3 linked regions of the Rattus norvegicus genome follow. The protein of the gene in region 1 interacts with the protein of each later gene in a pairwise test. Links are inferred from orthologs where the notes say so. Each region holds a gene or a part of one and is shown on either strand. Other genes may lie near its edges.

Region 1 (5,326 bases):
CCCAAGACCCACACATGGTAAAAAACAAATTCTGGAAAGTTGCCCTCTGATCCCCACATGCATGTTATGGTGCATGTACCCCTACCCCTCAAACAAACATTATGTAGTTAAAAAAAAAAAAAAAAGAGTTCTGGAATTCTTAGTTAAATATCACCTTTAAAAAATATCCTTACTTAAGGTATAGAAATAAAACTAAATAGACAATCAAAAGCAAATTTTTGACCAAAGTGAACTAGATAGTGCACTAAAAGTTCTTGATATACATTTGAAATTAGGTATGAAATTCTTCACTTAAGAGCAATGACTCTAACTCCTAGAAGATATCTGATGGCTAGACAATCGTCTTCTTTAAGCACAGCACACTAATCATGCAGAGCCACCTACCATTTATTAGAGCCAAAAATCCTTGGTGCTAGAATGGGAACAAGGTAGTCAGCCAGGCACAAAAACATGACAAAACAGGAAACACCGGACAGCACAGATGGATCGAGATAATAGATAATCCTATTAAAAACAAAGAAAATTAACCAAGGTTAGAGAACCACAGTGGTCATTATTCCTAGTCAAAGAGGTTCACTCTTCACCCTCAGCTTCTCAGAGATGGTGCTGTTTCCTTTCTAATTTCCTCACAAAGGGTTTTCTCGAGGTACCACGGCATGATGTTGTCACAGTTAAAAAAGTGCTTAATGTAAACAACGATAGTCAAAAACTCTGGAGACCTCAATATTTAGTAGAAAATAATATAAAGCAAGAGTGTTGAAATAAGAGTTTGAGTGTCTGGAATTTATTCAACAGTATTAACTTACAATTTTACATAAGGACTACAAATTCTAGAAAGTGGGCAAGCTGCTTGAAATAAAGGCATTCCTCTTGGATTATGTAGTACAAAAGCTTCTCTAAGCATAGGCTATGAACCCTCGGAGCATTTAGCAATAGAATCTCTCACTTACAGGAACAGCAGGGAGACCACACCCATAATGGCAGGTGGAAACCAGGCTCTTTCCCACCGAAGGACTTTGTCAGCCATCAGCATCACTTCTCCCCAGCCTTGCAGCTGCTCTTCAAGACTTGCAGTCTCCACGGCCTACGCATGACCAACAGTGTTACAGTGTCACTTCCCCAATCTCAACACTTTGGTGGCTCAAGTGAGTAAAATCTTTCTAAGTCATCAAATACACATAAAATGCCTTTAACAAAACTGTTATCTTAAACAAGGTGAGTCATGAAAAACTGCACTTTTGGTACACAAACATGAAAATCCGTGGGCAGGAGAAAGCATAGGCTTTAATGGTCACTTTAGCACTGGGACACATGTCCATGATGTATCATCATACTGCCAAGGTTTCACAATGTATTTCAATATTCATGAAGGTGAGCTTAATATGGTTAACCAATATCCCCAATGTACCCACAGAGCCATGAGGCAGTGCTCAGAATATTACTAAATTGAATATTCTGTTTGCTCATTTCAGGTGGTTGGCATTGATCTGTTGATTGGTCAATTTATTGATTTAAGCCCTTCTAAATCCATCAGGAGAACTTTTCCCTTAATACTAAATACATAATAGTATTTATACTATTAATAGTATAATAGAATAACTCTGGTATTGGCAGTCACTGTGGAATTAAAGAAAACTATTCTAACCAAATTATGTGACCTCAGCACTTAAAAGTTCTCCATAATGGCTTCTTCTTGTTAATGATGGAATTTCAATTAAATCTCAAAGTTTCTCTGCATATGCGACAACCAGTCAAAAGCGTACCTTCACCATGGGCTATTGTGGCCTAGACCTATCAGGGACTTTAGTAAAGGAAGGAAATTAGAACCCAGCAGTTGCTCAGTCTGTGCAGAACCCTGGATTCAACATCCAGGAACCACAAACACACAAAGCTCAACCGATACATCAACTTTTCACAAAGTAGTATGCAAATGATAGTACGGTTGAGGCTAATTTTAGTAAAGATGAAATATGTGACTAAGAACTTCTGACGTCACCCCACACTAGAAATTCTTAACCTTTTACATGTTAAACTTCAATTAATGCTCCTCAAACTGGAAAAGGTATTCTTACAACCTCTACTTTAAGATGAGGAGACTGAGACACAAAGAGGCTAATATATTTAAATCCAGGAAACATAAGACTAATGGCCTTGCTCTCCTTAAAATGATACTGCATTGATGGAAATAGAGGCCCTCTCCTGTGGGAGTTTCCCTGTACAGCAATTAATCCTCTTACTGGATTGTTTGTTGGTGTATGTGTATTGTGTAGGGTAAGATTTAGGATGCAGGGCAGGCATCTCTATTGGATTGTTTGCTTATGTACTGTGTGTGTGTGTGTGTGTGTGTGTGTGTGTGTGTGTGTGTCTGTGTAGAGGGAATTCAAGGATACAGGGCATTCACATTTAAACACGAATACAAACTGAAAATCTTGTACAATCAAAACTGTCCCAAAGTCACTTGTCGGCACTTAGGCTCTCAGAAAAAGTGAAAAAGCTGATTAAAATCTGATTGCTATTTTCATTTCTGATATGGTCTGCCTTTTCTGGGGAATGACATTACAGGGCGGGGGGAGGGGAATGATCTTTCGTTCTTGCCTACGTGCAGTTTAAAATTTAAAACAGGGCCTGGTGATGCTCAACTGTAATCCCAGCGCTTGAGAGGTGGAGACAGGAGGATGACAAATACAAGGCTAACCTCGATAGGTCAGGATACACGAAAACCTAGCCTTAAAAAAACAAAAACAAAAACTTGTAATGAAGCAAACATGCCCTCCTTTAATACCATCTCCTGCAGCTCCTTCAAATCTGTGCTAATCGGGGTTGGGGATTTAGCTCAGTGGTAGAGCGCTTGCCTAGCAAGCGCAAGGCCCTGGGTTCGGTCCCCAGCTCCGAAAAAAAAGAAAAAAAAATCTGTGCTAATCATTTTAAAGTTGCAACCAGTCCGGTGAGTCCCTCGTCAGTTCCCAGACAAGTGCCAGGATCTCCCACTGTCCTTTCCGCATAACCCGTTTTCAGCTTCCTGCGGTGAACTCCAACCAAGCAACTCCAACAAATTCTGTGTCAGCGATAAACTAATTCTCTGTAGCAGCCCTTTGACCCTCCATCCTTGCGCCAAGTTTTAGGGAAAAAAGAATCATGATTAAAAATAATCTACGAGGGGCTGGGGATTTAGCTCAGTGGTAGAGCGCTTGCCTAGCAAGCACAAGGCCCTGGGTTCGGTCCCCAGCTCCGAAAAAAAGAAAAAATAATAATAATCTACGAAACATGAAATTAAGATCAGAGGGCAAAACAGGTAGGTCTCTCCGGCCTGAGCCGGGAACGCTAGACAAGGCCCCTTGCGGCCGAGTGCCCCAACCTGCTACCCAGGTTCCTTCTTGCCACAGACCCCTTCTCACATTTCCACACTCACGGTCCAAGCCTTGTAGTGCACGCTCCCCGGGGGACGTTGGGGATCGGCAGCAAGGACCACCACCGTGGAGATGGGCAGGGAGTCCCAGGATCAGGCCTGGCTGCCCCTGTAGTTCACCAAGACCAGGAGGTCCATCCGGGAGCTCTGGAGACAAACTGACCACTGCGACTCACCAGCAGGTTGCTGCTGCGGTTATCCCCCTCGGCCATCGTTCCAGACGCACGGTTATCAACGAGCGCGAACACACCAAACCCAACACCAGCACGGTAACCCGAGCGCGGGGGGGAACGCCCCGCAGGCCGCTTATATAGGCTCGCTGCCTTTCCCGACAGCCCTCGCGAAACTCGCTCCTCATTGGATAGACCGCACTCCGGCTTCTGGGAAGCCAGGCCAACCGGCAGCTAGCGCATGACTTGAAATCCAGGTCAAAGGAGAGTGAAGCTGCGCGGAGCTGAAAGACTCTGGCCAATCAGAGTGCAGGGGTGTGGCCCGCGGGAGGCGGAGCGGAAGGAAGCGGTTCAACCGCCGTCGCTAGTCTCTCACCCAAATCTTCCTGAACGTTTGTGGCCTCTCTACTCCCTACCTGTCTTCTGCTGTATCTCAAAGGCGCCGAGGGGCCTGTCTGCTCAGCTGAGTAGAGGATGCGCAGTGGCATCCTATGCGGAGGCTAGATGGGCAAGGGACGCTTTTAGGTTCCCGTGGCACCTGCTGACTGGAAGACAAGCGTCCCCATGTGAGCACCTGTGCCTAATGCTGCTGCCTTTTCGCCAACAGTGTTAACAGGCGTTTTGAGAACACGAAAGATGCACGAACTCTTAAAGGGCGTCATTTGCAGCCAGACTTTGGGGGAATCATTTGCGGGGCGCTTCACTTGATTGATTTGAGTACTTCAGGTAGCTAGGGGAGCGCTTCATTCGGAGGGATGGATGGGTAGAGGAACAATTCAGATGATGGAACGCTTCGAACTGATTAATGGGTGTTATGGGGAAGCCATGCTAAATACGGACTTCAACTATCTTAGATTTATATTCTTTAAAAAATAAAATAAATAAGCAAATTACCAGGTTCTTTAAAGTCCCTGGAAGTTTAAAAGAAACCTGAGAGACCACATAGTGAGCCCAAATAAGCCTGGTCCTTTCTGGCCCACGGTGGTTCTATCAAAGGGGCAATTTGTCAGACGTTTTGACCAGCAAAGCAGCTCAGAGTGTGTGTGTGTTATGGGGGGTGGGGGTGGGGGTGGGGGGTTATGACTCGGCTGATAAATCATATCGAAAATTGTAAGGCCTGGAGTTCCCTCCTTCGCCTCCTCAGTACTGAGAACAAAAGGACCAAAACAGCTGAACCAAGCTAACCTGGTACCAGGAAGTCACTTTCTAAGAGGACAGAAGAGTAAAAAGAGGGTTTTTAAAATCTGTCACTTCTACCTTGGTAACTTGGCTACTGCTTCAGAAAGCTTCAAGTTTAATCGGTGTTCCCAAAGTAAAATTTAAGATTAAATTTAGGACAGCCCCAGGTCCAAATCCAGCTCTCACTGACCTTGCAAATTGGCCCAAGGGTTATAAACATCTTTTTTTTTTTTTTAACACAAAGAGGAGTGACCTTTGAAATGTGTCAGATGATGAAGCCCGTTACACTAATCTTCCTCAGAACTTTGGCATAGCAAATGAACTCTTCCCAAATATTCTTTTCATTTCTTTCACTCAGAATAAGGGTCAAAGTTTTGTTTTAAATATTGCTAAAACTGAGCTTCATACATTCTTTTGCTATTCGAGACAGGGTTTCTCTGTGTAGTCCTGACAGTCCTGGTACTTGTTTTACAGACCAGGTTGGCCTAGAAACCAGAGATTCACCCATCCTTACCTTTGAATGGCTGTTCAAAAAGGATTTTTTTTTTTTTGAGATCTTTAAGATTTATTT
Region 2 (5,545 bases), on another chromosome or scaffold:
AAGGACAACTTAAAGAATGAAAGTAATGCCAGGTGAGATGGCACAGACCCATAAAATTCTAGTCAGTAGGAGGAAGAGCTAGGAGAATCATAAGCTCGAGCTTGAACTATTATAAAACTTCCTCCCAAAAACACAGACAAAAAAGAATTAAAACACACTATGAAGTTGGGGTTGGTGGTGTGTACCTGTAATCCCAGCACTTGGGAAATGAAGCCAGTAAAACCAGGAGTTCAAGGTCATCCCCAGCTAAAAGCCCAAGCCACCTGAAACTCACCTTAAAACAAAACATATCATCCTGACAGAAAAGGAAAGTTTGAGAGGATAGTTCTAAAATAACTTAGACCTCAGATCTGGTATCTATAGGCCCTAGGAAAAAAATCAAAGTAAAACACAGTTTTTTGAAAGGAGAAAGGGATCTCCCCAAACTTAAAAAGATCTAAAAGACAGTTAATACTCCCTTACTCACATCAAAGTTTGCTGAGTCATGAATATTAATCAACTTGGAATACGCAAGTATCTACAGTGTACACTGAGTTTAAAAAGGATTAGTCTAATTTTAGGGAATTGCCTTTTACTCAGTCATGGAGCAGAAAGTGAAGTGGCCAGAACACAAAATCTATGTTATTTGGCTTTTATTCAACTGTTAACTCTATACTATCAAAGAATCCTGTCTCTGCTTCACTCAAATCTATCACTGCTATGGCCCATAGGCCCATAGGATAAAATGACAAAAGTCAAAAGAGACTTTCTGTTTGCTACCCATATGTGTAACAGAAAACATGTCCCTTTGCAACCACTTCATACAGTTAATTTGAACTGAGCACTGATCTGTCCCATGTCCCAGCTGCGCATGGCTTCCATGCTTCCTTAAACCAAAAGCAAATATCTTATCTTGATCTCACACTCAATTGAAGAATCACTTTTCAAACTAGGAGTGGTTGTGGATGCTGCTTTTAATCCCAGCACTCAACAAAGGCAAACCTATCTCAGTGAGTTTGAGTTCAGGGCAGCCAAAGCTACAAAGAGAAATCCTGTCCCCAAAAATCAAAGCAAAGAAAAAAAAAAAAAAAAAAAAAGGAAAAGAAAAATATGATATAGATATATATATAGATATATATATACATATCTCACTTTTCTTGGAATTTAACATTTTGGGGTGAGAAAGATACAGATGAAGGCTAACATATCAAGAAAAATAGAACTAACAACTTATAGAGTACTTTTTGGTTTTGTTTGGGTTGTTTTTTCAGTCTGATTTCATTCTCCACACTAGTTTTGAACTTCAACAATCCTACTTCAGTCTTCCAAGTCCTAGGATTAGAGTAGGCACCACCATACCCAGCCTGAGGACACTTTTAACAAAGGTAATACAAATGTGGGGGAAAGGAGCCCCAGAGCCCCATCAGAGCCCAAAAGGAATTAAGAGACTTTTGCTACAGAAAACAGAAATGTTACAAAGACATTCTTCTAGTAAGAAAAAAAGTACCAAGAGTTAGGAAAGTGACAGGGAACCTTCTTCAGCTATACAAAGGATAGATAGGTGGACCTCAATGAGGATCCACAGGAGTACAAAAGTACCAAGACTTAATTGAGAGGCTAAATTAAAGCTAGGAGATATGTGTACCCATAGGCACTGGGTGAAGAACGTGATCAGAAAAGGGGAAATTGCCATGGCCTTCACAGTGGGTAACTAACGGGTCAGTTGAAGTGGGGGTAGGAAACACCTACAGAGGCGGGGCAGACCCGTCCCTTTTCAGCTACAAAAAGATACAATTTCATAGTAGTCAAAGTTATTTCCAAGGGCATGAGAAAGTAGAAAGTTCTACTAGGGTAGGGGGACAGACAACCAGAAGAAACATGAAGGAAAAAGGAATCTCATCTCCCATCTAATGCTATGAAAATTCTTCTTCTCCAGAATGAAAGGAGTAAGAGAGGAACCAAAATTTCCAGGACAATTCCATCCAAAAAAATGCAGAAGAGGTTCAGAACCCCACAAGATCAGATGAAGAAAATACCTGAGGGGTGAGAAGAATCAGTCTGAATCTAAATTAGGGGTGAAGGGGATCCAGAATGGACTCAGATACAGAAGATGGGGTGGATAATGGATAGAAAGAAAAAACAAAAGTTCTGGTCTGGCATGGTGGCTCAATCTATAATCCCAGAACTGTAACCCTAGGCTGAGGAAGGAGTACAGAAGAGTTCAAGTCCAGCCAGGGAATCTTGTCCCAACCACACCCCTCAAAAAAGTTCACAGGAATCAAATCTTGGACAAAGAAAAAGCTGAAATAAGCAATTCTGAAAGCTACTTTTTTCTTTCCAAAAAGACTGTCAACAAGCAGAAATCAGAAGAACAGAAGCATGTGGAGATGGCCTTTTAGAGATGGTGAGGCTTAAACTTACCAAGAAGATATAGGAATGACCTAAATACATCTAGAGTCAAAGAGATAAAACACGAATCCATCCCTGGAGAGCTGGCTTTGGTATAAAGGTGTGGTAGGTGACAGACTTGTCCAACAAATCCACTAAATGGCTGGCTGGCTGGCTGATAAAACCTGAGGCCAAAGATGCTAAAGTAACAAATGGGTTCTGACCATTTCTTGTCAGACTGGGAACAGGAATGTAAGATGAAAGTTGAGCAAATGGTTCTAGAGCCAGTAGGCAAAGAAGCCTCCCTGAAGACCGAAGACCTAATATGGCACAGTGGACCTTCACAAGGGGGTCATGTAGGAAAAGAAAGGGAATCCTCCATGTGCTTGGCTGTAGGGGAGATGTGATTAAAAGCTGAAGTATCTCCTACACTAAAAAACAAGAAAAGTCGATTAGAAGCTAAGAAAAGGGGTTTCTCCAGGGTTCCCATCCACGCATAGTAATGACCTGATGTTCATGCCTTCAGCTGAGGATAAAAGCAGGTGTAATAGCGGGCTCAAAAATAAAAGCACGAGGGTTAACTCCCACGATCTCCCCGGGAGGGTTTCGAGTGGGAACGTGGGTCGAAGGTTCGAAGGGTCAGGACTAAGCTCCAGAAACTCGATCCCGCTGCACTCTTCCCTGCCTCGGCTGGGGGAGGGGGCTAAGGAGTGTGTCCCGGGTCGACGCGCCGTCTCACCTTGTAGAAGGCCCCGTTGGAGCCCCGCACCTCGACGGGCAGTCCCGGCTCCACATCCCCCCCAGAGGCCAGGCCGCCCATGGCGCCGCCACCACCTCCGACTGCCCCGGCAGCAGCTGAAACAGAGCCCTGAGTGCGGGCCGGGCCGGGCCCCCGGCGTCTCCCAGGAGGAGGAGCCGGAGGGGGAGCCGCGGGGGGCGGGAGCCGGGCCGGCCCCACGGCGGCCCTGCTACAGCCGACGAGCAGGGGGCCGGGGCCGGGCCGCTCCCCGTCCGCCGCCGCCGCTGCCTTGGTCTCCGCCACCGTGAGGGAAACGGCCGCCGCCGCCGCCGCCTTCGTCACCTCAGCTTCCGCCCGCCGGCGCCCCCGCTGCTGCCTCAGTCCCGGGACCCGCTGCTGCCGCTGCCGCTCCACGGCCTCCACCTCCCCCTGCCGCCGCCGCCTACTGCGCAGGCGCACAGGGCACCCGCCCGCCGCGCGCGGAGCCGGAGGGCCAAGGCGCAGGCGTCTAGGCTAGCGACCTAGCTCCCGCTCGCCAGCGCGTCAGGGCTTCCACATTCTCTTGCACTCTCTCACGCCCCCTCCTGGTCGCGTCTCTGCGCTTGCGCAGAACGAGATGAGCGCTCTATCTGTACCGCTCCAACCTTCCACTGTCCCTGTCCCTTCCTTTCCCCGCCCCACAACACTGGAAGCAAACCAATCAAGGGAAGAGAGGGGCCGCGCTCGCTCCGTCGGATTGGACTTCCGCCTCCACAAAGTGAGCCCCCATGGAGCCTGGGCAATTTAGGGATGGGCATGCGCCGGAATGACTGCTTGGTCACTTTCACCACCTTTGTCTTTCTCGGTGCGCACACTCCAAAGGGGGGCTGGGAGGGTTGGGACCGAAAGGAAAAAAACTGCCCAGTGCGCAGGCGCTGGGCTTTGGTGTCCATGCGCATGTGTTGACTCTCTGCATCCGTAGGAGAATCAAGAGTCACGGTTCTTGGCTTGAGTAGATTTTTTTTTTTTTAAGTTTTGTGAGACAGGGTCTCCTGTATCCTAGGCTGACCGTGTAGTGCGGGAATGACCTTGAATTCCTGATCCTCCAACCTTCGCCTCCCAAGTGCAAAAATTACAGGCATGTCATTTCCATGCTTGCCCTAAGTTGATTCTAATATTCTAGTAAACTCAATGCCCTGTGAAAAACAAAGTGCCACATAACCTGATACATAAATGCTGAGGAGATTCAAAACAGGAAAAATTGTCACAGAGTAACTAAAACATCCTGGCCTGGAAAGATGGCTCAACTATCAACCTTAACAACTGGAGTTGTATTCCTAGACCCACAAGATGGAAGGAGATATCCCCCACCTCCTGCAAGTTGTCTCCTGACCATCACACATATGACATCATTCATGGTCACCCACACATATAACAGAATTTCTTTTTAAGTAAAAATAAGGAATGTTAAGTGGAGAGATGTCAGCTAGGGGCTGGAGTGATGGCTCAGTGGTTAGAGCGCTGACTGCTCTTCCAGAGGTCCTGAGTTCAATTCCCAGCAACCACATGGTGGTTCACAACCATCTGTAATGGGATCTGATGCCCTCTTCTGGTGCATCTGAAGACAGCTACAATGTACTCAGGGGCCTCTGCCTCCCCCGTGCTAGGATTAAAGTCAAGTACCACAGGCCTGGCTAATAATGCTGCTTAAATTATTTTTAAATTTGCCTGGCATGGTGATGCATGCTTTTTTTTTTCTTTTCTTTTTTTCGGAGCTGGGGACCAAACCCAGGGTCTTGCGCAAGGCCCTGGGTTTGGTCCCCAGCTCGGAAAAAAAAAAAAAAAAAAAAAGATGTTTTATTAGCAGTAGTCAGAGGAGGACATATCTCTGTGAGTTTGTGATCATCCTGGTCTACTTATGATTTCAGGACAGCCATGGATACTTAGTGACAATGGCTCAAAAATTACAACAAAAAATATTTTTTTAAAGCCTGGGAGATGTCTCAGTAGGTAGTAGTCAAGCCTGATTAACCTGAGTTCAATCTCTAGGCCCCACACGGTGGAAAGTTAAAAAGTAATTCCCACACATTTTCCTCTGACTGCCACACATAAGCATGTGTACATGGCCACCCACAGAAAATAAATGGAAAACAGTAAAATTTAGCCATTTATAATTCCAGTTCTAGAAGACTGGACATTCCTTCTGGTCTCTGTGGGTATCAGGCACACATCTGGTAGGCACATTCCTACATGCAGACAAAACACTCATGTATGTAAAAATTAAAAAGTCAGGGCTGGAGAGATGGCTTAATGGTTAAGAGCACTGCCTGCCCTGTCCTGGGTTCACTTCCTGGCAACCACATGGTGGCTCAAAACCATCTGTACTGTGATCTGGTGCTCTCTGCTGGCATGCAGGTGTACATGCAGATAAAGCACTCGTTAAATAAATAAACCTTTGGG
Region 3 (5,345 bases), on another chromosome or scaffold:
TAATTTGAAACACCAAGAGTATTAACAGGGAAAAAGCACCGCAGACGATGCTCTGCCATCTGTGTCCCCTCCCCCTAAGTGGCCCTCCGACTCTGACCCACCTGGAGACCCTGCTTACCTCCAGCTCTTGGTTCTCCAACATCCTACACCAAAAGCCCATCGGAAGAGAACATCTGGGGAGGAGCAGAGGACATGGAAGGACGCACAGTTAGCGTGTCCGTACTGGGTTCTCGCAGAGCAAAACCCCCAAAAGTTTTTCACAGACGTCCCTTGGGGAAATCCAGGTAGGTAACTTTCCCCTCAACCCCAATTATGTGTAAAACCTGAAAGAGGAAGGGGGAAAACCCCATATTAGCTAAAAACCCTGGGGAATTTGCCTCCATCCAGACTACTACTAAAGGTGGACACTCTAAAGGCCACCTCAGTCTAGAGCTCCTGGGGACATGAGGAGAGTGTGTTGTGGCCAGAGAGGCAGGTGGGTTCCATTGTAAACTTTTGCTGGAGGACTGCGGCTTAGCAGTCTTCTGAACTCAGCTTTGAAAAGGAGCCTACCAGCGCCCCCTCCTGGTTGTTTAGAGACAACTAATTCCTCACAATTACCAATCTCTCTTTGTCTGGCTAACCAAAGGTCACCTCCATTCAGGTGAGTGGTCCTAGGAGCACCCAACTGAAGAGTCCAGTTACAGTTTACCACCTTCTCTTACCAGCTCCCCAGAAATGGAGCCAACCGTTATAATCAATTCCCATCCTGACACGCCCGCCATCCGGTTTGCACCTCTGCCTGAGCACCCCACAGCTTCTCGGGTCAACTCAGGATGCGTTCTGCTCCTTTGTAAAGATTCATTAAAGCCTAAGCCACTGATTTCCCCCAGTGTGGCAGTTTATGTGTACAGCGACATCGCCCACTCCAACAAGGGGACCATGAAGGCTGTAGCACAGGGTTACTGGATTCCAAAGGGGCCCATGATGTCACCTTCTGTTAAAATACAGCACTAATCTTGTTACTCCTAGAACCACTCCAACAGCATCCACCCTGCCTGCCGCCTCCACCCCTTCCTCTCTCTTAAGAGCAGAACAATAAGGTTTAATTTCCCTTTCCAATTTACCTTGAAATGAAAACTGACTTCAGCCAATATGTACTGCCAACAAACGATCCCGGCTGGCTCCTGGGAAAACGAGACCATCTCTAAGCTCTCCCTCTCCTCCTCCCATGCCCATTCGCACACCCACTCGCTTTTACAGTCCCACAATTAATTTTAAACACATTCTCTTATTAGTTCTGCCTCACCATTAGAAGAGTGCGTAATGAGCTTCCGTCTATTTTATGTTTTGCTAACATAGGGCTAATGTTTCAAAGGAAGGGGAACTCGTTTATAGCATGAAATTAGCAGAGCAAACAGCTTTCGCAATTCTTTCCAACATCCCAGAAGGTGTCTCTACAGACAGACCCCACACGCAGGGACAAAGCTCCACGCGGCAGATTGACAAAACTGAGCTAGGCTGTGGAGCAAACCTGGAGGTTTTGTGATGTCGGCACCATAATAAACAGCATTCTTGCTGACGATCTGACTTTTCCTCCAGAGCAGTCGCCACCTCCAAGAGCCCCTAAACTGAAATGCAGGGGACCTCAATCCCCCAATAACCCAATACGACAGTCCAGATGAAATAGACAAAGATCTGTGACCAAAGCCAACAGACTTTCTGTGAATAATTAACCTGATGGGATCCCCCCTCTTCTCTTTTTAGGCACTTGCTGACCGCCAGCAGAAGAACAGAAAGTTAAGTATTCTGAAGTGGTTTTTGGTTTGGGTTGGTTTGTGTTTGTAGTACAACAGAAAAGATGACAAGAAAGGTCATCTACGCACTTAGAGGATGTCATCAGACGTTTGGTCTAAAGAAGAGTTTGTTAGGGGCCTGCAGCACCCCCATGTGGAAGTTTTTCTCCTTTATTTTGGAGCTACTGTCATACAGAAACAAATAACCATAAACTGGCTTTTAAGGCGCTCCAAGCCTCCTGCGACTCTGGACGTTCAAAGGGCACTGAGGAGTTTCTGGTTGTCAATTTCCTTAAAACGCTGACACTGCAAAAACCAGGCTCCATTTCTAACAACCACTGCTCCCAGTTGACATCCTTCCTAAAAAGACCACTCTTTCGGAAGAAAACGGAGCTCAGTTCCATTCCTGGAGAAGCATCGAGTTCTGAACTTCAACTCTATGACCTGTCCGAAGAGGCGGACCTGTGTACCCATAAAGGAAGGACAGAATCAAGTAACCTCCAAAGGTTAAGAAGCTTGCTCAATGCTAACTACATTTCCGCGGCCTTTTCCATCCTGCCTCAAGTGTTCTTTGCTTCCCTCAACAATACTGGCACCAACAGTCCTGGGGAAGGGCCAGAGCTTTCGGGAGTGTACTAAGTTTGACGCATTGTAAAGCTCGCAACTGCTAATTCAGGGGAGCAATTCAAAGCCTTCTCATTTTCTCTCCCACTTAAACTACTTCAAGGGACACGTTAAAAACACATCAGGCTGTAAAAAAAGATTGCACCAAGGAGACCTTTCTTGCTCACTCTTGAGCCTCTGGTGTTACAGACAGCGACTCAAAAACCTCGCCTTTCTAAATACCCCACGGGTGTTCGAGGAGACTCTTCCGCCAGACAACCTGGCCTGTCCATCAAACAGCTGTTTCACCTTTCAGTCGGTAACCTACTCCTTTCAGCTGAAAGTAATAAAGGCGAGCATAATTTCCAGTATCTGCGAAAAGTATCTCCCATTTCCTTCCACTCCCGGCCACTTGGGTAGACATCCCTAAATTCTGACTCCGGCCACTCCTTTCCATTCTTTAGCAAACTTAGATGGAAACCAGCCAAAATGGTCCCTCTCTTTTCCCGGCAAAACTCGGAACGGAAAGACACCTTCTAATTTCAAAGTATATTGAAAAGCCAGGCTTCCTTTCTTCTTGGGTCCCAGCAAGCCCTCACTTTCACACCGGGCGGTAAGACGCACCTTCCCTAGCGTGTCAACCGAGGCCAACACTTAAATGTCACCACTACTGCTCAAGTCGACAACCCATTCCCCAGCAGCACCTACGAGCCGCGGCCCCGCCCACGCCCCCTCACCTGAGAGCAGCAGCAGCAGCTCTCTATAGCGACACCACCAGCACCGAACCATATAGCCAGATGCAGATTCCGGCTTCTCCTTCCGGGTGAGTCGCCGGCGCCCCAGTGCACGACGGGAGGCGGCTCCCGACGGGCCAATCCTGAGTGTCCAGGACGCCCCACCCCTGAAGACCAGGGCTCTCAGTGGTGATCGCCGGTCAGCGGAGAATCACCGCCACGCCCAGGCCTCAGCTGAAATCCACATCTTTCCGGAAATCGCTTGGGGCGTGAGAGGCGGAGCGCAAGGACCGAGACCCGGTGAAGTCCACTCGGGTGCCGCGTTCCGCCCACGGCCGTCAGGCGGGCCAATCAACGCTCAGGAAGTCTTTAAAGGCCGGCGAAAGCATCTTGGGATCCTAAGTATCTCCTGGGTGTTACAGAGTAATTAGAGTGGGAGGTTTCTCGCGTTCCAGAAGCTTTAGACGATCTCGATAGTCCAGGCTTGAATCTCGGAGGTTGCAATTCCCCATCTGAAATGTCAAGGGCACTGCCAGTTAAATTTGGAAAAGCCACGGATTATCCCAGCAAAAAACACACGAAGTTGACAACTCCTCAAACAGTTGTCAAACCCAAAGCAGGCCCATGCAGTTAGTAAACAAGAAAAAGCCGGTGAAAATGCTAATTATAGAGATATCTAAATTCCTCTTAAGCCAATGGAAATGGCTCATGCCCCGAATCCTAACACTTGGAAAGTTGAAGACAAAGTGAGTTCCAGGATATAGACTGAAGCTGTCTGAAGATACAAACGAAAAGCCTCTCTGATCTGTTAAAAAGTTAATTTTACATCTGTAATCCCACCACTTGGAAGCAGAGGCAGGAACTGAAGGCCAACGCCAACTACATTAGTTTCAGGCTAGCTTGGGGTGCTTAAAAGCAAAACAGCTGTAGAAATGACTTGAGAAGATGAATTCAGCACCCACAAATTCACGCCGCTCACAAATTCCTGCAACTCCAACTTCAATGGATCGAGGCATACTCACACCAAAAATGAATATTTATTACTTTTTATTTTGCGTAGCTGAGTATTTTGCCTATAAGTATGGGTGTGTACCATAGATCTACCTGAAACCCTTAGGGGACAGATGAGGGCCTTAGATCTCCTAGGACTGGAGTTACAAGTGGTTGGGACCATTGTGTGGGTGCTGAGAACTGAACTCTGCCCCTATACAAGGGCAAAAGGTGCTCTTAACCTCAAAGTCATTTCTCAATCCCAACTCCCCTTAAAAACTTATGAGCACTAATAAGAATGTGGGTGAGAGGGAAACACAGCACTACACTGACTGTGGCCTTGAGCTACTCCCAAAGCACAATGGTAGTTACCTATCCAGACGGATATTAGTCCTACAACTCAAAACAGAACTTCTCAGACCTTTGATCTCAGGATCCCTTTAAACAAACATTTGAAATCATAAGGACATCTTATAGTATTGGGAAATGTAGGACAGTCATTGACTTAGAAATAAAAATTGAGAGACTGAGGCAGGAGAGAGAAAGCACATCAGTTAAGAGCACTTGTTCTTGCAGAAGACCTGGGTTCAGTTCCCAGAACACATATGAGGGCTCTCATCCACTGTTCTGACACCCTCATCTAGCCTCTAGGAGCACTACACTCATGAGGAGTACTACTTAACGTGCAAGCAAGACATCCATAGGCAGGCATAAAATTAAACCCCAAAGATATTTTGTTAAAATATTTTATGATCTATATTTTCAAAGACAGAACAGCAAGAGGAACAGCTCTGCGTTACGATTTTGTAAATCTCTTTAGTATCTGGCTTAGGAGACAGCTGGATTCTTTTTTTTTTTTTTTTTTTTTTTTTTTTTTTTAAGAGTTGAGGACCAAATCCAGGGCCTTGCGCTTGCTAGGCAAGTGCTCTACCACTGAGCTAAATCCCCAACCCCAACAGCTGGATTCTTATTTGCTTTTTCATTTCTCTTTCATGCTCTATTGTTTTGGCAGATGAAGAATAACGAACGCTATGGGAAAGGGGGTATTTTTAGCTTTCTCCAGCAGCGGGGATACCCTCTCCATCTCTGTCTCTGATTTCATTTTGAGATTAAAGTCTTGTTATCCAGCTTGGGCTGGCCCAAGATCAGGATTACCTCAAATGCAAAATGCGCAGTGCTCCTACCTCAGCCTTGCAAGTGCTGGCTATACAGGTGCACTATCATATCATGCCCAGCTGACAAG

What was found. The genes of interacting proteins can lie anywhere in the genome.
Region 2: the proteins of Arl6ip1 (region 1) and Fxr2 interact in binary tests that used the Homo sapiens proteins (3 or more experiments, as listed by UniProt). The two-hybrid records come from large-scale screens. The link is inferred for Rattus norvegicus from reciprocal best matches to the Homo sapiens genes ARL6IP1 and FXR2.
Region 3: the proteins of Arl6ip1 (region 1) and Snx11 interact in binary tests that used the Homo sapiens proteins (3 or more experiments, as listed by UniProt). The two-hybrid records come from large-scale screens. The link is inferred for Rattus norvegicus from reciprocal best matches to the Homo sapiens genes ARL6IP1 and SNX11.

Annotation. Positions count from the first base shown.
Region 1 is NC_086019.1:181,870,560-181,875,885, forward strand, and holds the start of Arl6ip1 (ADP-ribosylation factor-like protein 6-interacting protein 1), read right to left. Parts: upstream 3,674-5,326; 5' UTR 3,619-3,673; coding exon 3,583-3,618; intron 1,085-3,582; coding exon 951-1,084; intron 505-950; coding exon 385-504; intron 1-384. UniProt on the Homo sapiens protein: Positively regulates SLC1A1/EAAC1-mediated glutamate transport by increasing its affinity for glutamate in a PKC activity-dependent manner.
Region 2 is NC_086028.1:54,847,330-54,852,874, reverse strand, and holds the start of Fxr2 (RNA-binding protein FXR2), read right to left. Parts: upstream 3,207-5,545; 5' UTR 3,188-3,206; coding exon 3,107-3,187; intron 1-3,106. UniProt on the Homo sapiens protein: mRNA-binding protein that acts as a regulator of mRNAs translation and/or stability, and which is required for adult hippocampal neurogenesis. Specifically binds to AU-rich elements (AREs) in the 3'-UTR of target mRNAs.
Region 3 is NC_086028.1:82,245,961-82,251,305, forward strand, and holds the start of Snx11 (sorting nexin-11), read right to left. Parts: upstream 3,207-5,345; 5' UTR 3,116-3,206; intron 2,238-3,115; exon of another isoform or gene 1,514-2,237; intron 1,167-1,513; 5' UTR 1,107-1,166; intron 324-1,106; exon of another isoform or gene 174-323; 5' UTR 161-173; coding exon 119-160; intron 1-118. UniProt on the Homo sapiens protein: Phosphoinositide-binding protein involved in protein sorting and membrane trafficking in endosomes. Regulates the levels of TRPV3 by promoting its trafficking from the cell membrane to lysosome for degradation.